3 linked regions of the Notamacropus eugenii genome follow. The protein of the gene in region 3 interacts with the protein of the main gene of each other region in a pairwise test. Links are inferred from orthologs where the notes say so. Each region holds a gene or a part of one and is shown on either strand. Other genes may lie near its edges.

Evidence for each region.
Region 1: the proteins of FIP1L1 (region 3) and PRMT2 interact in a two-hybrid assay, tested with the Homo sapiens proteins (2 studies listed by BioGRID and IntAct). The link is inferred for Notamacropus eugenii from reciprocal best matches to the Homo sapiens genes FIP1L1 and PRMT2.
Region 2: the proteins of FIP1L1 (region 3) and CPSF4 interact in binary tests that used the Homo sapiens proteins (3 or more experiments, as listed by UniProt). The two-hybrid records come from large-scale screens. The link is inferred for Notamacropus eugenii from reciprocal best matches to the Homo sapiens genes FIP1L1 and CPSF4.

The regions. Positions count from the first base shown.
Region 1 is NC_092873.1:68,196,419-68,204,564, reverse strand, and holds the start of PRMT2 (protein arginine N-methyltransferase 2), read right to left. Parts: upstream 3,200-8,146; 5' UTR 3,089-3,199; intron 2,687-3,088; 5' UTR 2,674-2,686; coding exon 2,605-2,673; intron 811-2,604; coding exon 715-810; intron 1-714. UniProt on the Homo sapiens protein: Arginine methyltransferase that methylates the guanidino nitrogens of arginyl residues in proteins such as STAT3, FBL, histone H4. Acts as a coactivator (with NCOA2) of the androgen receptor (AR)-mediated transactivation.
Region 2 is NC_092874.1:379,805,398-379,812,878, forward strand, and holds the start of CPSF4 (cleavage and polyadenylation specificity factor subunit 4), read right to left. Parts: upstream 3,353-7,481; 5' UTR 3,163-3,352; coding exon 3,060-3,162; intron 2,881-3,059; exon of another isoform or gene 2,775-2,880; intron 2,737-2,774; exon of another isoform or gene 2,571-2,736; intron 1-2,570. Other genes in the region: PTCD1 (pentatricopeptide repeat-containing protein 1, mitochondrial), read left to right, coding at 4,632-5,141. UniProt on the Homo sapiens protein: Component of the cleavage and polyadenylation specificity factor (CPSF) complex that play a key role in pre-mRNA 3'-end formation, recognizing the AAUAAA signal sequence and interacting with poly(A) polymerase and other factors to bring about cleavage and poly(A) addition.
Region 3 is NC_092877.1:104,814,242-104,821,571, forward strand, and holds the start of FIP1L1 (pre-mRNA 3'-end-processing factor FIP1), read left to right. Parts: upstream 1-4,190; 5' UTR 4,191-4,483; coding exon 4,484-4,568; intron 4,569-5,681; coding exon 5,682-5,721; intron 5,722-7,330.

The sequences.
Region 1 (8,146 bases), on a different chromosome or scaffold from region 3:
CCTAGAACTGTGTAAAATGCAGGGCAGGCAGTCCCATGAGCCACGCATATTGGCTTTGACTGACAGCTCCTACTGACCTGGGAAACACTGGCAGCTGGACAATCCCCAACCAGGGCTGCCCATCTGCAATGCCCAGGTGGCTGGTCAGGGTCAAGAGCTGGTGAGGAGAATGGAACAAGTCTGGCCCCTCAAGACTCTGAGTGTGTCCTCTGTCCCAGGCCTTGATTCCTCTAAGAGAGTTGGGCCTCCCTCCTGAGGCCTGTGGGGCCCTTCTGCCCCAACCCCCCCCACTGTGTTCTGCTTGCATTCTGTTCTGCTTGTCGGTCAGGTCAGTATTGGAAAGAAGTGCCAATGTCTGACCAGCTTAACCCAATAAAGAGAGGACTCCTCCAGAGGGGGAACCAGGGACAGACAAACAGGACACACATGTGTGTGTCTGTGTGTTGTTCTATATCAAATCACGATTAGCTTCTGCTCACAGCCTAGAATCTACAGACTGGGCCCCTAAACAGTCATTCTGGCTCAAGCTCAAAAGAAATTGAGGGTAACTCCTCCCTGTCTCTGCTCCAGGTCCCTCCTCTCTCCTGCACCCCCCACAGTCCTACCAGATGTCCCCCCCAGCCCTCACAGACCTGTCACAGGGCATCCCCACCACCTCCTCAGGAACACACAGAACACTGGGCTGATGTCACACCTGGCCTTGCCCATTCTTACCTGTGTTTCATTCGTTGCTGCGTAATCTGCGATAGCCACAAGCTCTTCGGGCTCTGAGTTCTCTGCGTCATTCTGTTCTTTGGTTTCTCTCACTTTCTGCACAAAATCAAGGAAATAAGATGGGGGCTGGGATAGAATGCCTGGGCAAATAGTTCATCCCCTTGTGTATCTCAATAAAGGCCACAGTCAACCGATGGTCACTGTTGCCCCATCTTGCCACGAGCATCCAGGTGGTGTTTAAGTGACAGGCGCCAGGCACTCAGGGACCCATCCTGCCTCAGCACAGCTCATGAACAAGTACTGGCAGCAGGTGGCACCATTTCCAGACATGCCTCTTCATTTGTCTTGTGGGGCAGACTGATTGCTTCCCCTGCAAAGCCTTCAGGCTGAGGGGGGCTCCTGCAGGGGCCTCAGATGACAGCAGGCTGGACTAAGGCACTAGGTTTGCTGAGAACAGGCTTCCATTGGCCTCAAGGAAGCCCAAGGCCTCTGTTTCACCTCCACTGGTGAATGGGTTGTCTGCTCCAGCATAACTTCGGTAGGATGCAATGGATGTGGACAGTCCACTTGCTGTAACCCTGTAAGCTGACCAAACGGTCTGATCCACTCTGAGCTAAGAGGCTGCCAGAGGGCCTATCTTCAGGGACTTGATCAACTTTAATCCATCTTCTTACCCAGGGACTGACTTCTGAAGGAGGCTCCCACTCCTACCATCCCTCACAATGTGACGTGGTCACCAATGTGGGTGGGCACAGATGCGTCCCAGCTCTCAGGTTTCCTCCCCCTCTGCGACCTTGCCTTCTCTCCTACCTCCTTCCTGTCCAGCCCAGTTCAAGGGCCTCTGGGAGGCAGCCTTGCCTTGCCTACTGCCTCAGTCTTCCAAATACCAACAGCCTGCCTGCCCAGCTAGCCATGAGATTGGGGGAGAGGCCTCTCAAGATGCACTGTCCTGGACTTGTTTCTTGGCTGAAGTTGATCTGACTACATCCTTATTCTCGTCCCAAATGAGCCGCCCCAGAAATGCAGGCCATGATGCCATCTAAATGCCAGCACAGTGTTGCAGCCAAATGCTGGACTGGGAGTCAGGAAACTCAAATCCTTCCTCCTGACACTGGTCACGTGGCCTTAGGAAAATGCTTAACCATTCTCAGTTTCCTCATCTGTGAAATGGGGATAATAATGGTGTGTCACTGAGTCCTTGTACGTAAGACTCTTTGTAAATTTCAAAGCACCACAGAATTGTTAGCTCTGAATCAGATGGGGTCCTACTATGTTTAGTTTTTGCAAATGGAATCCCTTATCCCAGGAGGCAAGGAAGCTTTCTCCCAGGAGGAAACAACTTGGAAAGCATTTTTGGTAAAGCAAAACAAACAAAAATTCCCCCTCCTCAACTGATCATTTTGGGGGCCTGGGGGTAAATCTGGGCTTTCCTGTAACCTTTAAGCTTCAAGGAGGGTACTCATGCACATCTTCCACAAGTGATATGTAAACACAAAGAGCTCCCACTGTGTAGGTCTGTCTGACTCTGTGCCTGCCTCTGCCTACAGACTTCTAAGACACTGGCAGTCTTCAGTGTGGCCTCCCCCAGCCCCTCTATGGCCAATGCCCACTTCCTCACGGAGTCTGCCTGCAAAGCCTTTCCAGCATAGCAGGCCCTGACAGAGCTGGTGCCCCATGGGCACCAGCTTGGGGCCTTTCCAGCCTATGTGGAGGGTCAAGCTCCCACATTACCTGCGCCTCCCCAGGGGCAGCGCCATGGGGCCAAGGGCCATCTTGCCTTTCCAGCCTATGTGGAGAGTCATCAATGCGACCACTGTGGGCTAAGTCTCAGAGCTCACCAGGGTGGCCTCCCTGCTCACCCTGCCCCAGACACCCAAGCTCCCACATTACCTGCACCTCCCCGTGGGCAGTGCCATGGGGAGGGGCCATGGGGTCGGGCTCTTGCTCCTCTGGCTTCATCTTCCCTTGGTTTCTATTGTCACAAGAGAGAACGCACCGATGGTTAACTATCCTTCTGTCCCAAGCCCGACCCCCAATGAATCCCCCCCTCCCACAACGCAGAGCGAGGAAAAAGCCCATCTGCACGAGCTCCTCCCCGAGGAGGGCACATCTGCTGCTGCGCCCACCAGTCACTGCTGGGGCATCCTTCTGGCACAGCTGCCAGGTACCCAGGGTCACCTGAATCAGGGCCTGGGGCGGGGCATCGGGGGAGGGACGGGGCCCGCCCTTGCACATTTGACAAATGAGAAAACTGAGGCAGCTCCAGCGGCCTCGCCCCAGCTTCTTCTGCCCTCTCTCCAGACCCACTCCCATCACAGGTGGGGAAACTGAGGTAGCTCAGGCGTGGCCCCGCGCAGTCCCCTCCCCATCTTACCGAGGAGTTTTTGAAAAGGAAGCAACTGCCTGACCGGCCTCGGCGGGTGCCGGCCTGAGCGTCAGGGGCAATTGCGCAAGCGCGACCGGGTCAGGGGCGGGGCCTCGGAGAGACTCCACCCACTCCCTCACCCCACCCTCCCTATTCCCCCAGCGCCTAGGAGTTACCCACATGACTCAAAGTCTTAGGGCGCGTGCGCATATCCTTCCATCGCTTCCGGGTCTCTGGGGTGGCTGGGAGTAGCTCCTCCTCCTGGGAGATCTGTGCGTGCGTGTGAGGGGCGGCTCTTCCTCTTGCCTCTTTCCGGGGAGGTGGAGGCTGCGTCTGTTTCCTCTCTAACTCGGGATGGGCGTGCCGGGCTACTTGCTGCAGGCAGCGGCCCGGGGGGAGGGGTGCCCTTAGCATGACAGGCAGGGAAACCGAGGCAGTCCAAAGCCCCCTTCTACCTCCCCGCCCAAGGTAGACCTTGGCAGGGCTGCCAGGCTCCGTGCCTCAGTTTCCTCAGGTGTAAAAGGAGACCCTGGGTGGGGACAGCCTGCGGGCCAAGGATCGAAGAGGGACCCCAAAGCTGCGGATCGGGCCTCTGTATGTACACACATTTATATACACACCCAGAGACAGACCCCCAAGGCAGCTCAGTGCCTGGCGCTCGGGCACCCAGAGGCCCGCCCCCTGTACCCTCAGTAAGTCCCCTGTAAAATCGGAGCGCTACTGTAGCAATCTCGGTAACATGTAAAGTATCTTCCAGCCTAGATCTGCGTGTGCGAACACTGCATTCATGCGGTTACACGAGCGCTACTGTAGCAATCTTGGTAACGTGTAAAGTACCTTCCTACCTAGATCTGCGTGTGTGGGTGTGCGAACACTGCATTCATGCGGTTATACGAGCGCTACTGTAGCAATCTTGGTAACATGTAAAGTACCTTCCAGCCTAGATCTGCGTGTGTGCGTGTGCGAACACTGCATTCATGCGGTTACACGAGCGCTACTGTAGCAGTCTTGGTAACATGTAAAGTACCTTCCAGCCTAGATCTGCGTGTGCGCGTGTGCGAACACTGCATTCATGTGGTTATACGAGCCGGGAAGAAACCAGACTCCTTCCGTAGCTAGGAGGTGAACCCGCAAGGTAATTTAATATACCACACCACATAATGCACATTTACATTTCTTCATCAAGAGCTTAGAATAGCGATATTGATTGCTTTTGCCCCCCAAAACACAAACTAAAATTTGCATTATGTAACGGTAATCACAAAAAAGTTTATTCTACCTACAGTTATGAAAACAATACAAAATTATAAAACTTAACTAAAATAGTTATGGATTTTTTTGTGGGACATTCTGTAAGAATGAAAAGAAATAATCTAAGATCTCATATGCTCACTATTATCTGTAAGACTTCATATTAAATTATTTTGTTTGGCAAATTTTGTCAAATAAAACATTTAAATGAAATAATTTATAAGTGGGAAGATGTTAGCATAATATCATAATCACGTATAAACTATTTTGATGTTGCATTTTTTTATTGGAGTAGATGTTTGCGACATTTTGCTTAATACCAGACAAATAGTCTTAAATCTGGTACTGCATCAAGTTTTTTTCTCTATTTTGATATAAAGTGAAAAAATGCTTGTTCACACAAATATGTGGTAGAAAATTCTAGAAGAATTACACAAGCTCTTTGAACATTGTAAATGCATTTTTTAAAATTTCTAACTGCTTAAGTAATGATAATGATAACATGATAAAAAATGAATGGCCAGTCATGATACTTTTCTATTGGTTAATGACAAGTTCTGTATTAAATGATTTACTAAGTCTGACTCTTCATGATCCCATTTGGGGTTTTCTTGGCAGAGATGCTAGAGCCACTTTCCATTTCCTTCTCCAGCTCATTTTACAGATGAAGAAACTGAGACAAACCAGGTGAAGTGACTTGCCTAAGGTCATTAGGCTAGTAAGTGTCTGAGGCTGGATTTGAACTCAGAGGAGAAGCCTTCCTGACTTCAGGCCTGGTGCTTGATCTGCTGTAGTTCCACCTAGTGGCTCCATACACATCCTTAAGGCATGATCTGAGTGCAAGTTCTTTCTTTGCTTCTCCAGCTTTTAAATACTCTTCACAAATTGACAGAGGTAGGGTTCTAGTCAGGATTCCTGTTCAGTGGTTCTCGGAATCATTGGCTTTGTCTTCATTTGTGGTGATAATCCAAGGAGTTTGCATTAGGGAGTCTTTCATAGTGCTTTAAGCAATGAGCTGCCCACTTAGGTTACAAGTAGGTCTTTCCTCTACTACCTGCCCATAGGTTTGTTTCTGAAGTGATTTAACACAGCCATAATCAGGCACATCATGAATTGGACATTCTAGCACTTTCTGCTGAAGCACAATGTTCTTGCAATTTTTCAAGTATCATCAAATTTTTTCCAAACTGCCACAAGGATTCCATATTCAAAGGCAAACTGCTCCTCAGTGAGAGGATACATGTGCATTCTGCACAGTGCCCCAGAGTAGCTTCCTCTGTTCCCTTCCAGTCATGTGGCCAAGATGGTACAAATAGCTGCTTGCTTTCAGCACAAAAGTGAGGCTGTGTGGATTCCATGGTCACTGGGCATGAGCATTATAAACTATCCTGAAACATCCCAAATGTTCTGCAGAAACAAACCTTCTGTTTCTTCTCATTGCAATATTAAGGCTGTTTTCAGATTTATACATGTCCTCCACCTTGCTTACTGTTTCTCTGTCTGGTGGATTTTCAAATGAGCTGATTGTTGACCCTGAGTCACCAAAAAGATCCTTTCTTTTCAAAGGTCAGATAAACATTGTTTAGAACTAGGTAATAGATGCAATTGAACCTTAAGGACAATTCTCATTTAATACCAGGTGGCACCATAGTGCGTAGAGAGCTGGACCTGGAGTCAGGCAGACTCATCTGCCGGAGTTCTAATCTGGTGACCCTGGGCAAGTCCCTTAACTCTGTTTGCCTCAGTTTCTTCATCTGTAAAATGAGTAGGAGAAGGATATGACAGACCCTTCCAGTATCTCTGCCAACCCTGTTTTGCTCTGAGCAACCTTAGTAGGATGCTGAGGAGGGACAGTATTGTGTTCTTTCAGTGACAGGCAGTTCCCTTAAGGCAAACAGCTGCCAACTTCAGCAGACCTGCGAATGGCAGCCTTCTCACATTAAATCATAGCTTACAAATGCAAAACCTCACCATCCTTCTGTTCCTCAACAATAGGTCCCTGCCCAAGCACCACTTAATGGTTCTTTTTGGGCCCTCCTGGCTCAGAGGGAATGTCAGTAGTAACTGTTTTTCTTTTGTCCAGCAACCCGGACAGTCTTCCCCTCCCAGTTCCCCATCCCTTCTTCTTAAAGGGATGATCCCTTGACTCACTTCTTAAAAAGGCCTGTTCATTGAATGGGTGTGGCCTCACTCAAAATGAGAACCTGAAAAGGCCTTAGCCTAAAAGGGTCAGGGTCTCCCACTGCATCCTGGGCCATCTCCCCTCATCCTGATGGATAAATATCAGGTTACTGGACCCAGATGCCTCTGGAGGAGATAGTGAGGCTGGTGACCTTGCACAGCCCTCCCTCCCTCAAATCAAAGTCAACTGTGAATCATATCATTATCACCCTGAAATCATGGTCCTCTCTCGGAACGAAGGAGAAACCCCACACACCCTCAGAACAGACACAGCCAATAGAGGACAACACAAGCCTGGCACCTTTGCCCTCTCTCAGCAGTAGATGGCAGCAGAGAGCAACAAGCCCAGACAGCTCCCTTAGGCAGCAGGATTTGGCTCCTGGCTTTCAGCCTCCCGGCCTTTCTCCAGCTAGTCAGCAAAGCCAAGTCTCTTTCCCAATAAGCAAGTTCCAGAAAAGCAGCTGAAAGTGGGCTGTCTCTGCCATAAATGTTCTGTAGCTTCTGTCCCTGGCTTCTTGTGATTCTCCTGCCCTCTCGTTTCTTTTATAGCTCCTTCTCCAGCATCTTGTGTCCTTCTGGCTCACACCAGACTTGTAGTCGTCAGTGACTCAGGCTTTACCTAAAGGAGTCAAATTCAAGACCACTTTCCTGTACTGTATGGACCTAGCAGTCCCCATGCAGTCTTCTCCTAGTCCCCAAAGAAGTGTTTAATTTAGTGTTTGTCATTACAGCCTTTAAAATTCAAAAGGCAGCCTCATCAAATAGAAGGTGGCACATGGTGCTCTGCGGGAACCACCATTTCACTTCCTGCTCTGTCTTCCAACAAGTTGGCTAAGACTACTTTCATTCCTGTCAGGAGCAGGCAGTTGGCTGGCTGGCTCACTCAGAATAGTCTGAATCTCTCAAGTGTTTTATTTGAAAGACTAATTTTTTTTCAATCTATCTTAAGAAAATCAGTTTTCCTTCCACAAATGGTTTTCCTCCCATAGTCTATTGAGCCACCAAATTGTTCCCATGTACAAAGGGCAGTACCTGATACATGCCTGCTCAGGTAGAAAATCAACCAGTGAGAAGAGGAGCAGGAGACCTTGGGCTATTCTGTGCCCTGTGCTTTGGGTGAGATGTGCTTGGTAGATCTCAGACCACTGACCCTCTGAGGGTCGGATTTCTGCTGCCCTTGGCATCTGTTCTATGTGCCACTTATTCTGTTTTCCAGTGAAATGAAGGAGTCTTGTCAGCATCAATTGAGTTTTTGCTTTTGAAATTTTGTTCCAAGGGCCTCCCTAGGTGATAAGCAAATTCCTCTTGTTCTCAAGCAGTCTGTAGCTCTGTGTTCCTGAGCAAAAATGTTGAGTCTGGAAGCCATATTTAGTCAGTTTGGTTTTGAAAACTTTCCTATGACTTTTTCTGTGTGAAATTTAAGAGGATATTCCTTTCTGTCATTAGTTAGACACCAAAATAATCATTAGGTAATACCTGTAGAAATTTCATTTTAGTTATTGTAAGGATTTCCCAGAATGCCTCCTACCCTTTTTAGTTCCATTATGTTGAAATGATCCTGAATTAAAAATAAAAAGACTTTTTAATAAACTGACTTCCCTTTTATTCCAACAACACATAGATAATGGTAGAAAA
Region 2 (7,481 bases), on a different chromosome or scaffold from region 3:
AAGCTGTCCAAGTGATATTCCTAAAACACAAGTCCAACCATCAGCACTCTCATAAATTCCAGGACTCCCTATAACCTCTAGAATTAAATACAAACTCTTCCATCTGGCACCCTTTCACAACCCAACTCCAACCTACCTTTCCAGACTTATTATATGCTGTATTCTATAATCGAGCCAAACTGGCTTTCTTGCTATTTCTCCAAGAACCACATGGTGCACCTTTACACCTCTGCCTACTGTCTCCTGAGCCTCAAACACTCTGCTCTCACCTCTGCCTCTTAGAATCCCTCATTCCCTTCAAATCTCAGCTTATGCCACCTTCTACACAATGCCTTTCTTGATCCCGTCAGAACTTAGTGCTTTCAAAAGAAAAAAAAAACTTTTGATTTACTTTGCATGTACTTTGTATAAATGTACATGCTGGGAGGTGGGGGAATGGCACGTTTACTTCTGTCTCTCTATCCCCAGATAATAGGACGTAGCAGGTACTGGATAAATGTGTGTAGACACTTCATTTTACTCCCTTCTGCACACTCTCTATTCTACTCAGCTTGGCCTGCTACAGCTGGTCCCTGTGTGGGACATTCCATGGCCTATGCCTCTAACTTTCTATAGGAGGTTGCCCATGTGAAAAATGCACACAGCCTTCTCACTTCTCTGCCTAACTAAAGCCCTCATTTCCTTCGAAGACGGCCCAGGTGCAGTCCCTTTCATTAGTGAAGTGCTCTGAATATCAAGAAGTTTTTCTTTATACTGAGCTCAAATCTATCTCTCTGCAACCTGTGTTCACTGTCTCCCTAACAACCTCAACTGCTCCTCTTTCAAAACTTCAAAGGCCTTTTGAAATGAACTTCAATTCCAAAGACATTCTGAAGCTTTTCAAAGGAAGGACTTAGATGTTCAGACAGTTTGCTTTGAGGTCTTTTTTAACTATCAACAAAAAAGGGATCCAGAAATTTAACATTCAAAAGTTAAAGATTAAAGCTGCCACCTTCCATAAAGACTGAAGGTTATATCTGAGATTATGACTAGTATTCTAAGCCTCACAAAGTTTCTCACCCACCACCCTAGACCTAGGTGCACGGCATCTGAAGAATTCACAGGGTTCACAGAAAAGATAAAGTGCTCTGCCCTTGGGAATTGAGAAATCATCTAGGTGTATGGAGTGTGATGTATCTTAGCCAAGTGTTAAGTGATGCTCCTGAACAAGCAATACACACTTAGGAAGCCTTTTATGGTTCAGAGGGTCCTTTACTGTACACAGTGTGTGAGGATGGGGGGACGTATGACCTGGTCCCTATCCTAAAGAATTTCATAGTCTAGATAGGAAGAGATTTGTTCCAGACAGCTATAAAGACAGCAACAACATCAGGCAGCTGGTAAGCAGCACAAATCACGAGTCCTGTTAAGATTCTGGAGCAGGAATCACTCTATCTGGGTTAAGGATGGCTATACGAACTATTCTTGCGGTGAGAAAGAGTAAAGAAGCTTCTTTTGTTCATCTGTTTTGTTTGGGGAAGAAGAGTTAGACAGTACAGATCTTCCTGCTTGAGCAGGAGATGCACTACTTAGTACTTCCCACTGTTCCTCAATTCTCTGCTTTGCTGTATACAGCAACAGGAAAAGCTCCCCAGCCCAGAACTCTTCCATCAATTGGGCAGTCCAACCCAAAAGCTACAACGCCAATTCAAAGTACCATAAACTTGGTGTGTTTCAGAGTTGGAAGGGGTGTCAAAGGTCACTCCCTCCTTCCTGGCCTGGCTCAATCCACTCCCCTTTTTGCCACCTCTAATTAATTATCGCAAAGCTTTTCATTATAAAGGCTGAATCTGCCACTGCAGCTCCTGCAAACTCACTGTGCCTCATCCTGAATCTTTCTTCCAAATGGAAAGACCTCAAATACTCAGAAGCCAGCTATCTGTGCTCAGAGTCTTTTCTACCCCACAGTAAACACCCCAGTTCCTTCAACTAGAGTTTCTTCCCCGTCCTCACTGGTCATCCTCTTCTGGTCCAATAATTCCAACTTGTTTATCTCCTTCCTAAAATGTGACAGCCATAACTGAACAAAATACCTCCGACATGATCTGACCATAGGGACGATTTTTTTTAACTGAATCATTCAATCACTAACCCTTCATCAAGCCGCTTACTACGTGCTATGCAGTGCCACGCACCGGGGATACAAAGAGACAAAAGGATGCCAGACAGCATGCAAATAAATACAAAGTAACTACGTCCGAGATGAACAGGAAATCATCAACGGGGCAAAGACACTTAGAACTAAGATTGGTTGTGAAGGCTCCTGGTGAAGTGCAGGACTTCCCTTCGCCGCATTCGGGACAGCCTTCATTAAACACAGAAACACCTGCTAACAGACACCTCCACCCCAGGCAGGCCGCTTGGCACGCCGTGCCCTGCCGCTGGCAGTCACGTCCATTTCCTGGCCGTAGGATGGGGATGCCAACACTCACGCTAACGCTTCCCGTGAACACAAACACAGCCTCCCGGCGGCTCGTCCCGCCCCGAGGGCCAATCACAACCTGGGCAAGCCCTCTCTCCGAAGCGCCAACCTTTCAAACCCTGCGCGCACCTCCGCAGGGGAGCTCCGCTCTTTGCTGCCCCGAGGCAAGTCCGCCCAAGGACTCCCGGGCCTCGCGATCGGGACGAGGGGGCGGTGGAGGAGGGGGAAGAAGGGGAAAGGAGAGTGGGGGCTCGAGGGGGAGGGGAAAGGAAGAGGGACAGGAAGTGGGGGGGTAGGCTGAGCCCAGGGCCACCTGCAGGGGCCTGCCTGGGCCGGCCGGCTGGGCTGCGTCTACGCGGAGGACGGGGACGCCCCAGGGGTCATTCCTAGACGCTCTACGAGATCAGGACACTAGGTGTGCGGTCGGAAGACCCGGGTTCAAGTCCCGGCTCGGAGGCACTTCCTGGCTGTGCGACCCTGGGAGAATCCCACCCGTTTTCATCGGAGCCTCGATTGCCCCATCGGTCGAATGGGGACATGGACTCCCCACGAGGAGAAGCCGCCGGAGGGGAGGGCTCGGCCCGGCGGCCTCACTCACTGTCCATGCCGGGGAAGGGCAGCGGCTGCGCCCCAAGCTGCTGCTCCACCGCGATCTCCAGGTCGAACTTGATGTGGTCCACGCTCGCGATGAGCTCCTGCATCGTAGCGGCCGGCGCGGGCCCTCCCGGGACCCGGATCGTCCTCTTCTTCCTCCTCCTCCTCCTCCTCCTCCACTACAGCCCGGGACCCCGGCCCGGACCGGCCCGTGCTCGCTCTCTCTCTCCGCGGACTCCTCCTCGGCCGGAGGCCGGCGCGCCAGCCCGCCCGCCTCCCCGCCGCTCTTCTGGCCTCAGCCCGCCCCGCCCCCCGCGGGATGCCGGGAGCGCGACCTCCGACCCCGGACCATCGGTGGCCAATCGGACGCCGGAGGGGAGGAAGGCGTGGCTCAGGAGCCGGATGCGGACCTATCAGGCGCCGATCGCGGGGGCGGGCAGGCTCGCGGGCTCTTACGTGCGCTGTCGCGCCGGTTCCCTCGCTCTCGTTCTCCCGGGCTTCCTTCCGAGAGCCGGCGGCGGAGAGGACCGCGTCCCGGTGAGGCTTCCTTGGGGGCTGCCGGGGCGCTTGTGCGCCTGCGCACCGCGCGCGCAGGGCAGGCGGACCGGGGACGGCAGGGTGAGTGCAGCCGGGGACGAAGCTTGGGGGACTCTCGCCCTATCACTTGCTTACCGACCCGGAAATATCCTTCCACCCCCTGAGCCCCAGCGCCAGCATCTGTGCAGACCAGTGTCGCATGAGCTGGGATGGAGTGGTGGGCCTTAGCTCTCGCTCCCCGTTGCACGGACAGGGAAACTGAGGCCCGGAAAGAACCCACTTGCCAGGCAGCAGCAGGCAGTGGTGGAAGCCGCCTGGGCCCCTGCCTGCCTCAGACTGAAAGTCCGGCCTTGGCCCCCACCCCCATCTGAATGGCCGAACGGTAGCTTTGGGGTCGGGCCCAAGTGCCCGCGCCGGGACAGCGTTTCCCTGGGTCTGTAGAATGAGAGGGCTGGGATTCCTGAAGACGTCAGGCCCCAGTCTGACCTGAGGGTCTCTCCCCTCCCCCCCACATTGTTCCAAGCCTGTACACATCGTTCTCACCCCTGGGGTGGGGGCCACCAGCAGCGCCCTTCACGTGTTGGAGAACAGCCCGGCTGAGGGGGGTCTTAGAGACTTACTCCCCTCCCACCCCGGGAAAGAATGAGCCTGGGATTGCCCCCCCCCCCAAAAAAAGGAGTTGCAGGTAGTCTGAGGGGTGATACATCTATGTGATGCTTTGTAAGAGGCTTTCCTCACAGCCATCCTCTAGAATAAAGCAAGTTTTATCCCTTTTTGTAGATGAGAAAACTGGGTCTCAGAGAAGTGGCTTGACGACCTTTTACAAAGTGGCATAGTGACTTCCAGGAGTCTAACTTAGATCTGGTGTCTAAATCAACATTCTTTCCTCTGCAGGCTATCCAAAATAATTCATATAAAAACCTTATATGAGTCTGTTTGGCAGTTCCTTACTTTTTTTCCCCTTAATATTTGAATTGACTCCAGGACCCAGACTGGATCAGTGAAACATCCATGGTAGTAGACAGCAGGAAGAGGAGACATGAAAATCATACAGCTGTTCTCCAACCCCTCCCTGGCAGGATCATTTGCCCTAAGACACCTTAATCCATGGGTGGGCCCCAATGGAACTAGATGGGTAGCTCAAGGAAAGAGCCTGGTGTTTCAGAGGGGCTCATGCCAGCTGCTCCGATGCCCAAGATGGAAACCTCAGTGTGGGATGCTGAGACTATTCAGTTCCTCCCTCCCCAAATTCAACTCAAATGACTGGCCCCAGAAAAAAGTAAACAACAACTCTGCAGTGCTTAGTGAATCTTGTTCTCCAGCCCAGCCGGACACAAATGGAAATGAAGAGGAAGAGACTTTTGGGACTCTGTCTGACAAATATTCATCCAGAAAAGTGTTTCGTAAAGCTACGGCAGACTTTCACAACTTAAGGCTTCAAGAATATGAGGATGAGGAAGATAAAGTACTGCAGCAGCCTTGGAAGGGGCGGCGGAACACCCCTCATTGGTATTTCTTTCAGTGCAAGAGGCTGATAAAGGAGGACAAGGTGAGTCCCCTAGCTCTTGGTTAACTCCTATGAAAACCACATCTGACTGACACATCACTTTCAGAACTCTTATAAGAATCTCCTCCTCCACTCAGACTTCTTTACCCACTGAACCCTAAACATACCAGCAAGACCCCATCCTCAGATGGCATCCCCTTTGCCTTCTTCAGTTTAATTGAACAAACATTGTGGTTTATCGGCCGTGTCCCAGGCAGCCCTGGGTAGACCAAAATAAAATAGCCCCTGCCTTCTTAGAGCCTATAGCCCCCATTCGTCCTTCAAGTCTTACCTCTTCATTCATTCATTCATTCATTCATTCATTCATTCATTCAATATACTTAACTGAAAAGCTGTTTTGGATAAGGCCCTGTACTAGACGCTGAAGGGGATACAAGGAGAAACACGACTCAGTCTCTGCCCCCAGGAAGCTTACTATTTGTATGGGGGATGGGATTTGTACACAAATCCAATGTAATATTACCAGTATTTAAGTCCCTACGGTGCCAGGCACAGGGGATAAACATCTCTATGGAGCCTACAGTGTCCCAGGTGCTGTGCTGAGCATTTTGCAGATAATGTCTCATGTGATCTCACAGCAAAGCCGCTGGGAGGTAAGTGCTGTTATTTTCCCCGTTTTACAGTTAAGGAAACTGAGGCAGACAGAGGTTAAGTGACTCGCCCGTGGTCACACACTTAGTACTGAGGCTGGCTTTATTCACATCTTCCTGACTCTACTTCACAGTCTGGCTGCCTCAGCTGTACTTAAGTACTGCCCTCCATCATTCTGGCAGTTCGAAGGAAAGAAACATCATTTCCATCCATAACAAGGTCTATAAACTTGGTTTTTGGAGGTTTTCTTCATATATTTTGATGTGTGCTTCAATATGATGGATTTCCTTCATAATCCTGTGTATTTTATGCATTTAGGAACATTCTTCTGAGGAGGGGTGCATGGGTTTCCCAATGAAGCAACAACTCCCTGACCCAAAGAAGGCTGAGTCCATTGTTCGAGAAGAGGGAAGGTTTCTAGGAGCTGTCATCAGAACTGGGCTCCTGAGAAGCCTTCTCTGATTCCTTCAACCCACACTGATTTCTTCTCCCATTTGAACTGGCCTGCACTTATCATAGTCCTCATTTGGCACTTGACAAATTCTTAGCTCTTTTTTCTAAGTTTATTTATGTCTTCTCTCCCCAGTTAGAGGGAGCTGTCTAGAGGCAGAGACTGAGTATAAGGCTCAAGACATAATGCCATGCACGTAGTTGGCACTCAGTAAATGTGCATTGACCAAAATTTGTTTGAAAGAGGGCTCTGAGGCCTGGAAGGACTTATGCGGTCTAATGCTGAGCGAAAGGAGCACAACCAGGAGAACTTTGTGCACAGCAACGACCACAGTGTGTGAGAGTTTTTTCTGGTAGACTTGGAACTTCATAGCAACGCAGGAACTTAAAAAAAAATTCCTAATGGTCTTCTAAGGCAAAATGCCTTCCACACTCAGAGAAAGAGCTGTGGAATTCATTCGCAGAATATAGCAGATCATTTGTGTGTGTGTGTATTATGTTTTGATTTGTTACATGACTTCTTCCATTTATTTTACTTGATCGACATAGCATGACTATAGTGAAAATGTATTCACTAGGAATGTATGTGTAGATCCTATATAGAATTGTATGCTCTCTTGGGGCAGAAGCGGGGTGGTGGGAGGTAGGTAGGGGGGGAAAAATCTAAGTTTTATGGTAGTGATTGTAGAACATTAAAAATAAAAAATAAAAAAAAAGAAAGAGGGCTCTGGAACATAGCCACCAGGAGCCCAGAGGTTTCTTTTGCCTCACAAGCTCTAGTCTGTCTAACCTAGAATAACCACATAGTCTCAGAAGAGCAGCTGCTGGGCTTCTCCTTAGGCTGAATTCAGCCATGAGAGAAGAAGAGGAGAGTTGAAGGGGTGGTAAGGTATAAAGATGGGCATTTAAAGATTAGGAGAGGGAACCAGTGAAAAGAGACAAAGTGTCCATGTTGTACAGGGTAAGTAGGGAGAGAGGGATGGAAAAGAAAATATAAAGGCAGAAGGATTGGGGACATGTTACAGCCCCAACAGATGGAGCAGCCCAATGTGGAAAAAACAAGAACTGTTTTTTAACGACAAGACCCTCATCAAAAAACTGTCCTTCCCTGCCTTCCTCTCAGGCAAGGACAGCTGAGAACCAGAAAGGTAGGGGGCTCTAAAAAAGGAAGAAATGAGGCTTGGGCAAAGTCTCTACTAAGGGAAATCTCCCTGGTGTTAATCCAGGTGACAAAGTAAGCACACATCATGGGATGTGCATGTAGGACATCGAATTAGAGGG
Region 3 (7,330 bases):
ATGTGCCATGGTAGGACTAAACAAGAAGATGTAAAATAATAAATAAAACAAAATTCTACTCATAAAGGGATTTGCTATCCTGGCAGAAAACTCACATTGTCCCAAGGAATAATACTTAAAAGTTCAACAAAACACAATATTTAATTGCATATATACATAAAGACACAAAAGCATGTGAACACAGGCACAGTTCTTTGCCTTCACGCATAGTTTGTATATAACATGAAAAATCGTATATCTTTATTATGTTACAATTATTTGTTTCCTCTATCTTTCCTAACAAACAACCCTCCTACAAGGCCCTAGTTACCTAGAGGGCAGACTCTCTGCTTTACTTATCTATAGCACTCTGATTATCTTATAGGTGCTTTATGAACGTTAGCAGTTTGCCATCACCCCATTAGGAGATTGAGTGAAATATTTTCCACTTAGAAATCAACATTAAAACTTACATATGTAAATCTGGATAACCCAACTGAACATATCAGTCAAATCCTATACACCAATTAAGTTTCCGGAAAGGGTCAGGGATTCTTGTTTGAGACCTTGACCACTGTCACTAAATCTACAAACTTCCTTGCATGTAGTAGGTCCTCAATAATTATTGTTTTTTGTGATTGAATAAAATACTTCACTGCGTTTTCTGAGGCATTGTAGGAAGCTACAAATTAAATAGAAGACACAGTTCCTTGCCTTTTCAAGAGCTTATGGCTTAAGGGCCAAGACTGGGATAAACTCAAATATAAAGACTAGGGAAAATCTAGATTGTCTATGACTTCCACCTCTAAATGGTTGTCTGAATCTTGGTAAATAAATTTAACCTTTCTGATTCTCAATTTTCTTGTTTACAAAACTGACTTAATCAGTCTGTCATTTAACTGAGAGCTATTCTGGGGACTTGATAAAACATTTTAAGAGAACTAGGTTGGAAATGGATAAAATGAATTATTAAAATGCAAATTCTAAAGATAAGGAAAGGAAAGCCTACATGTACTCAAGTAGAATTTTAAACAGATTTTCATGGTGCTTATGAAGGAGTATTGGAACAAACAGAACTAGGAAAAGCTTACATTTATTCTTCTCTATGTTAGTCAATTCATTGCCTGCACAGGATTAATTTTCATAGTTACATTGAGAAAATATTGGGAATTGTAGGAAATATTGGAATTGGACTCTTGATAGAACCAGATTTACATACACATCCCAGTGTCCTGTGAGCGGAAATGAAGAAAGTCGCCATTCAAAGAAGAAGTGGAAGTTATGAGAGCATTCTAATGTAGAGAAAATAAGGAGCTCTAAATGTAAACATTCAGAAGGGTCCTCAAAATGAAATTTGTTCATAGAGCATGACTTCTTCTGAAAAATTGCCATGCCTACTTATATCACAGAGTGTTTGTTTTGGTTTTTAACTATATTCTGAATTTTGTGGATGACAAACTTACTAGTATATATTTTGGACAATAACTCTTACAGTCATTCATGTTTTGTTACAGGTAGGGATGCAGGTATTGGGGGTTAGAGGAGAAGGACTAGACATCTCCAAGAGGAAACATATTCCTCCTTTTAATACTCAATCTCATGGCAATTTTTGACACTTCTCAACATGATCACTGAGGCAGAACACTTTTTGCTATTCAAGATTCTTATATATCTCCTATGATGTTACATTCTACTTAACTCCTTGATGAATATTTTTTTAATTTTTTTTTATTTTTTAATGTTTAACAATCACTGCCATACAATTGAGATTTTATCCCCCCCACACCTACCCCCCCACTACCCCCCTCCCTCCCCATGACTGCATATAATTCTGTATAGGTTCTACATATACTTTCCTATTGAGTATATTTTCACTATAGTCATGCTATGTAGTCAGACTAAAATAAATGTAAGAAATCATATAACAAATCAAAACATGATACACAAAAACATACACATACACAAACATGATCTGCTACATTTTGCGAATGACTTCCATATTTCTTTCTCTGAGTGTGGAAGGCATTTTGCCTTGAGAACCACCATTGGGATTTTTTTTTTTTTAAGAAGTTCTTGCGTTATTACGAAATTTCAAGTCTACCAGAAAAAACTCTCACACACTGTGGTCGTTGCTGTGCACAAAGTTCTCCTGGTTTTGCTCCTTTCACTCAGCATCAGGTCATATAAGTCCTTCCAGGCCTCTCTGAAGTCTTCTTGTTCATCATTTCTTATGGCACAATAGTACTCCATTACATTCATATACCATAATTTATTCAGCCATTCCCCAATTGATGGACATCCCCTTGACTTCCAGTTTTTGGCAACTACAAAGAGTGCTACTATAAATATTTTTGTACATGTGGGACCCTTTCCCATTTTTATGATCTCTTGGGGATCTTGATGAATATTTTGGACTGAAGTTAAAAACAATTTAAAGGCCAGTCTTAAATAATAACAAAAAAGCAGTCTCTCTCTCTCTCTTCCCCACCCCCCCAAACATACGTGTGTGTGTGTGTGTGTGTGTGTGTGTGTGTGTGTGTGTGTGATATCTAGCACTGGATCCAGATGGCTCAGGAGGAGAAGTGACCTTGCACAGTCCTCCCTCACTCAAAACTAAGCCAAGTTCAAGTCATGTCATCATTTCTCTAATGTCATGGTCTTCGAAAATGAAGGACGAACACAACCTTCAAGTGGACTGAGCTGCCTGAGTGGAGAGCCACCTAGCTGGGTAACTCAGCTTATCCTCTTCTTTCTCCCTCTCCCCTTCCTTCTTCTCTCCAAAGGAAGGTAAATTTGGATGGCCATAGACTGTCCAGTTAACTTGAGGTTTACTGATTACATGTCTTTCTTCCTTCCTACCTTCCTTCCTTCCCCTCTCTCTCTCTCCTCTCTCTTTTTCTTTCTGTTCAATAGGTCCCTGCCCAAGCTCCACTACATAGCTGGCTTAGAGTGATTATCAACAGTACCAATTTCTTTTTTCCTCCTAACTTGACTGTTCTGTTTTCTTTTGCTCATTAAAGGGGCCATTCCCTGACTACTTTCTGAAAGAGGCCTATTCACTGAATGGGCATTACCTCCCTCCAGGTGAGTACCTGAAAAGGCAAAAGACCAAGGTCTCCCATTGAATCCTAGGCCATCTCCACTCATCCTGAGGACTATCTGGTCACTGGATCCAGATGGCTCTGGAGGAGAAGTGAGGCTGGTGACCTGCCCTCCCTCACTCAAAACAAAGTCAATTTCAAGTCATGTCAATTTCTCTGACAGCATGGTCTTCTTTGAAAAGAAAGGATGAACACAACAACACATCTCTCTTAACAGGGAAGCATTTGAGATAATTGGAAGGTAGGCCAGGGGCCAACACAATCTTAAAACAAGCACTTCTTTTATTTTTCTGTATATTTGAAAATTTAACATCCTTTTAAAAAAATTTTGAGTTTTAAATTCTATCCCTCTTGCCCTTCCCCCACAAGCAATATCAATTATATATACTTGTGAAGTCATGCAAAACATATTTCCACATTAGCCACCTTAAAAAAAAAGCAGGAAAAATAAAGTGAAAAAATAAATTAAAAAAAGAAAAAACACGCTTCACTGGGCAGTCAGAATTCTTCAGTTCTCTCTGTAGGCGTATCACACTTTTCATCTTGAGTCTTTTGGAAGTGTCTTGGCTCGTTGACTTGATTTGAATACCTATAAATAATCCAGGCAGGTAATTGGGAAAGGGGCTAGTATAGGAAGACAGAAGGGCTCCACAACAAAAAGTATGAGAACTTCCTTTTACAAAATTATTTTAAAGCAATTTTGACGCTACGATGTGCCCCTGTCCATGGGCACGCAGAAGAAAGCCTGACTTCCTTCGACAAGGAGCAGGAAGACCTTTCCAGGGGGCGGCTCCTCCTCAAAAAGTCTAGCACCGTTCACTGAACTCAAACCGGATCGCTGTGTGCCCCAAAGCCAAGGGGTCACCGCGCCCGGCGCAGCGCTAATTCCGTATCCTTTCTAACACAGGACGTTTTTCTGAAGATGGAGCGGAAAAAAACACGGAGGAAAAAAGAAAACCGCGGACCTGAGGAAAGTACGCATGCAGGGCGGAAGCACACCTAAGCCAGAGAAGTCTGAAGCTGTCAGGACTGTGAAAATGGGAGAGGGTTCTGAAGGAGAGGAAGGATGCCCAGAGAGGCAGGAAATCGTGCTGGAGGAAGCTCCACCCTCTCCTAGCGTGCGGGGGAGGGGCAGGCGCTTGTCTCGCGTTCGCGCAAGCGCGCACGCAGGCGCACGCGTACCTGGCTGGGCTGGCCTCGCGTCGCGCCGCTGAGTTCGGGCTGCGCGTGCGCGAGCGAACCTGTGCTTGGGGAGGGGGGCTCGTCATCGTGATCGCCGCCTCGGTCCGCTCCTGTGCGGTTCCCAGTCCCGCGCCCTCACACTCCCCCATCGGAAGCGAAGCTCGGGGGGAAGGCCCGGCTGGTGGTCCCGGCATTTGTTCCCAGTCGTAGCCCGGACGGCCATGTCGGCCGGGGAGGTGGAGCGGCTGGTGTCGGAGCTGAGCGGCGGGACCGGTGGGGATGAGGAGGAAGAGTGGCTCTATGGCGGTACGCAACTCGGGGTCGCTCCTTTTCCCCTCCCCCCCCTCCGCCGGTTTGCTCCAGGCCTCTTCTTTCCGCGTCCCGCGGTAGCGGGGGGCGGCGGGCGTGCTTGCGCCTCGGACCCCGGGCCTTGGGCCTCCCTGCCCCGGCCGGGACGCTAGGCCCGAGCGCCGCGCGCGTAAACCCTTCGGGAGCTCCTCCTTCTGCACCCGCAACCCGCGCCTCCCCGGGGCCCCGGCTCCTAGCTCCGGACCCGGCCGCGGCCTGCCCGCCCCCTGGGGTGCGAGCCCCTGAGCGCCGCGGCCGCCGGAGCTGGGCTCCGGGCCCCTTCGGGCCGTGTTCTCCCCGGCCGTGGTGATGCTAGAAAGTCCACCAGAAATAAAACAAGTGGCGGCAAGCCGGGGGACTTGTTGGCACGTCCGTCGCAGACGGACCAGGTGGCTCAGGGCCCGCGAAGAGCCCGACTTGCTTGTTGTTGGTCTTTTTCCATTAGCCCTGGATGTAGCCAGACAACCTGAGCGCATCACCCGAGGAACTCACGAGCCCCACGCGCGGAGTTACAAGCTACTCAATAAGTGTTTGTGGGGTGCGTGGGCTTGGCCTCCCGCCTCCTACTGACGTGTCCTCCAGACACCTCAGCTTATCCCTTAGTTTACGTTTCCTGTAGTCACGTTTCGCCTGCTGATTTTCTGAGAGTCTAACCTTGTCTTGGATGCTGTTGGCCTGGATCAGGCAGACGGATGTTTGACATGTCCGAGTGACTTCCGGACACGGTCACGGCCTTGGAATTGCATAGTTAATAAGATGATACCAGGCTGTACCAAGCATCCATTTAATGAGACCAAAATTAGACTGTGTGCCAGGAACAATATCAATAGCATTAAATAAATTTTAAATGAGATTTTGAGACTCCAACGCCTGAGAAACTTAACTTAAAATATAAAAATAAGGTCAAATTTTCTATTTTTGAAAAATCTAAAAGCCGCAGATTTTTAGATATTTGTAAAAAAGAAACAGCTGTCTGTGACATACAGGGTGAATTTTGAAAGATTGGGTTAGTATTTGTGCTTCCAGTTTTAAAGATTCGTTGACAATTCATTTATGTTTTTTTCTTGACAGATGAAAATGAAGTTGAAAGGCCAGAAGAAGAAAATGCCAGGTTAGTGAAATTCCCGATTGATAGCGGTACTGATTATGTAGTGGTGCCAGTCTTACCATTGTTTATAGTTAGGAATTTGGACTTTATATGTGATGATCAAGGTTAAGCTGAAATCTGTAGTTGATTAAGGTTTTAAGGACCTGCTTCTAAAATAGAGAGAAGAATTTTCTAGTTTCTGTCAGGTGCTTGGGGATAGAGACTGAACCTATGATTTCGTGGATATTGAGAACTTTTGTGTGAGGAAACCCCTTCTGCCAACACAAGCTCCTATCTTCTCTGCAACCTGTAGTCTTAGAGTTTCCTAGAGTAATGAGAGATTAAATGAGCTCCGAAGTCACACAACCAGTATGTTTTAAGTTACCTTCACTGCTCGGTCAGCTTATGTGCCTTGTGCCATGCTGCTTCTGATGCTAAAAACTTAGGACATGGTATTTTTGTTATTTTCACATTTTTTTTGTTTTTCTTTTTTACTATTTACTACCTTACAGTGATTCAGTAAAACTATGTGCCAAATGGGGAATTTTCTGAGTTTATACATTCCTTAGGCTTTTCTAAAGTTCTAACTAGTATAGTAATAATACAGTGGCCAGGAAAATTACCCCTTCCCAATTTGTTTAAATGGCTTAATGCTTTATTAGTAGAGTATATGTTTGTTTGATGTGCTTGGGTGAATGTGTGGCTACCTTTTATTGAATTAATATACAAGAAATCTCCAGTCTATAAAAATTCAGTTTACCATCATCCTATATAAACAAATTGCCATCTATATGCTGCCCTGCCTCTTCTCCACTAAGTCCATAGATCAGTGTGAAAGAATTTCAGCTTATAGAGAATTTCTGGATACAGAAGAGACAGACCACTGAGAAGATTTAGGAGACTGGTTCATGTAATGCCTTTACTACTTAAACGCCTTCCTAGACTGCCATGTTAAAACTTTATAGTAGAAAGAGCAAGATATCCGAGTTGGAAGACCTTGGTTGAAAAGTGTCCTACACTTGTAGTTCTGTTACCTTGGGCAAGACATTTAACCTTCCTGAAGCTTTGGTTTCCTTTTCTGTAGAATGAAGGTATTTATACTTGTTCTTCCAACTTTACAGAGATTTTTTTGGAAAAAGTACTTATAAACCAAAAATCACTACATAAAAGTGGACTCCTTAATATTTTTTAATATCAAAGTTTGCCTACATTTTGAGTTAAGTAGATTTTTGGGAGCAAAATTTGGAATCTTATTAGTTTTCAATTTCTATGGGAAAATGTATTCCAGCTTTTTTTATAAGCTTATAAAAGGCAACCCATTCTTAAGTTAAAGACTACCCATATCAGTTCTGATTAATCTAGACTAAATTGTTTTCAATCTTTGCTTATTATTGCAGTAATCATATTTTGAGAAAGGACTCCTGAGGTACAGTCCTTTGTTAACATTAGATTAGTGCTGCTAAGTTTGTAAACCTAATTATACTATTTGATAAAGGTGATCATTGTTCATTCATGAACCTGAAAGACTGAAATTCTTAGTTTTGATTTAGTCATCTGAATCCTTAAAATTACAATCAGCAACAGTAACTTAATAAGTTTTATGAAATTAATTTAATAATTTAAAAAAAATTAG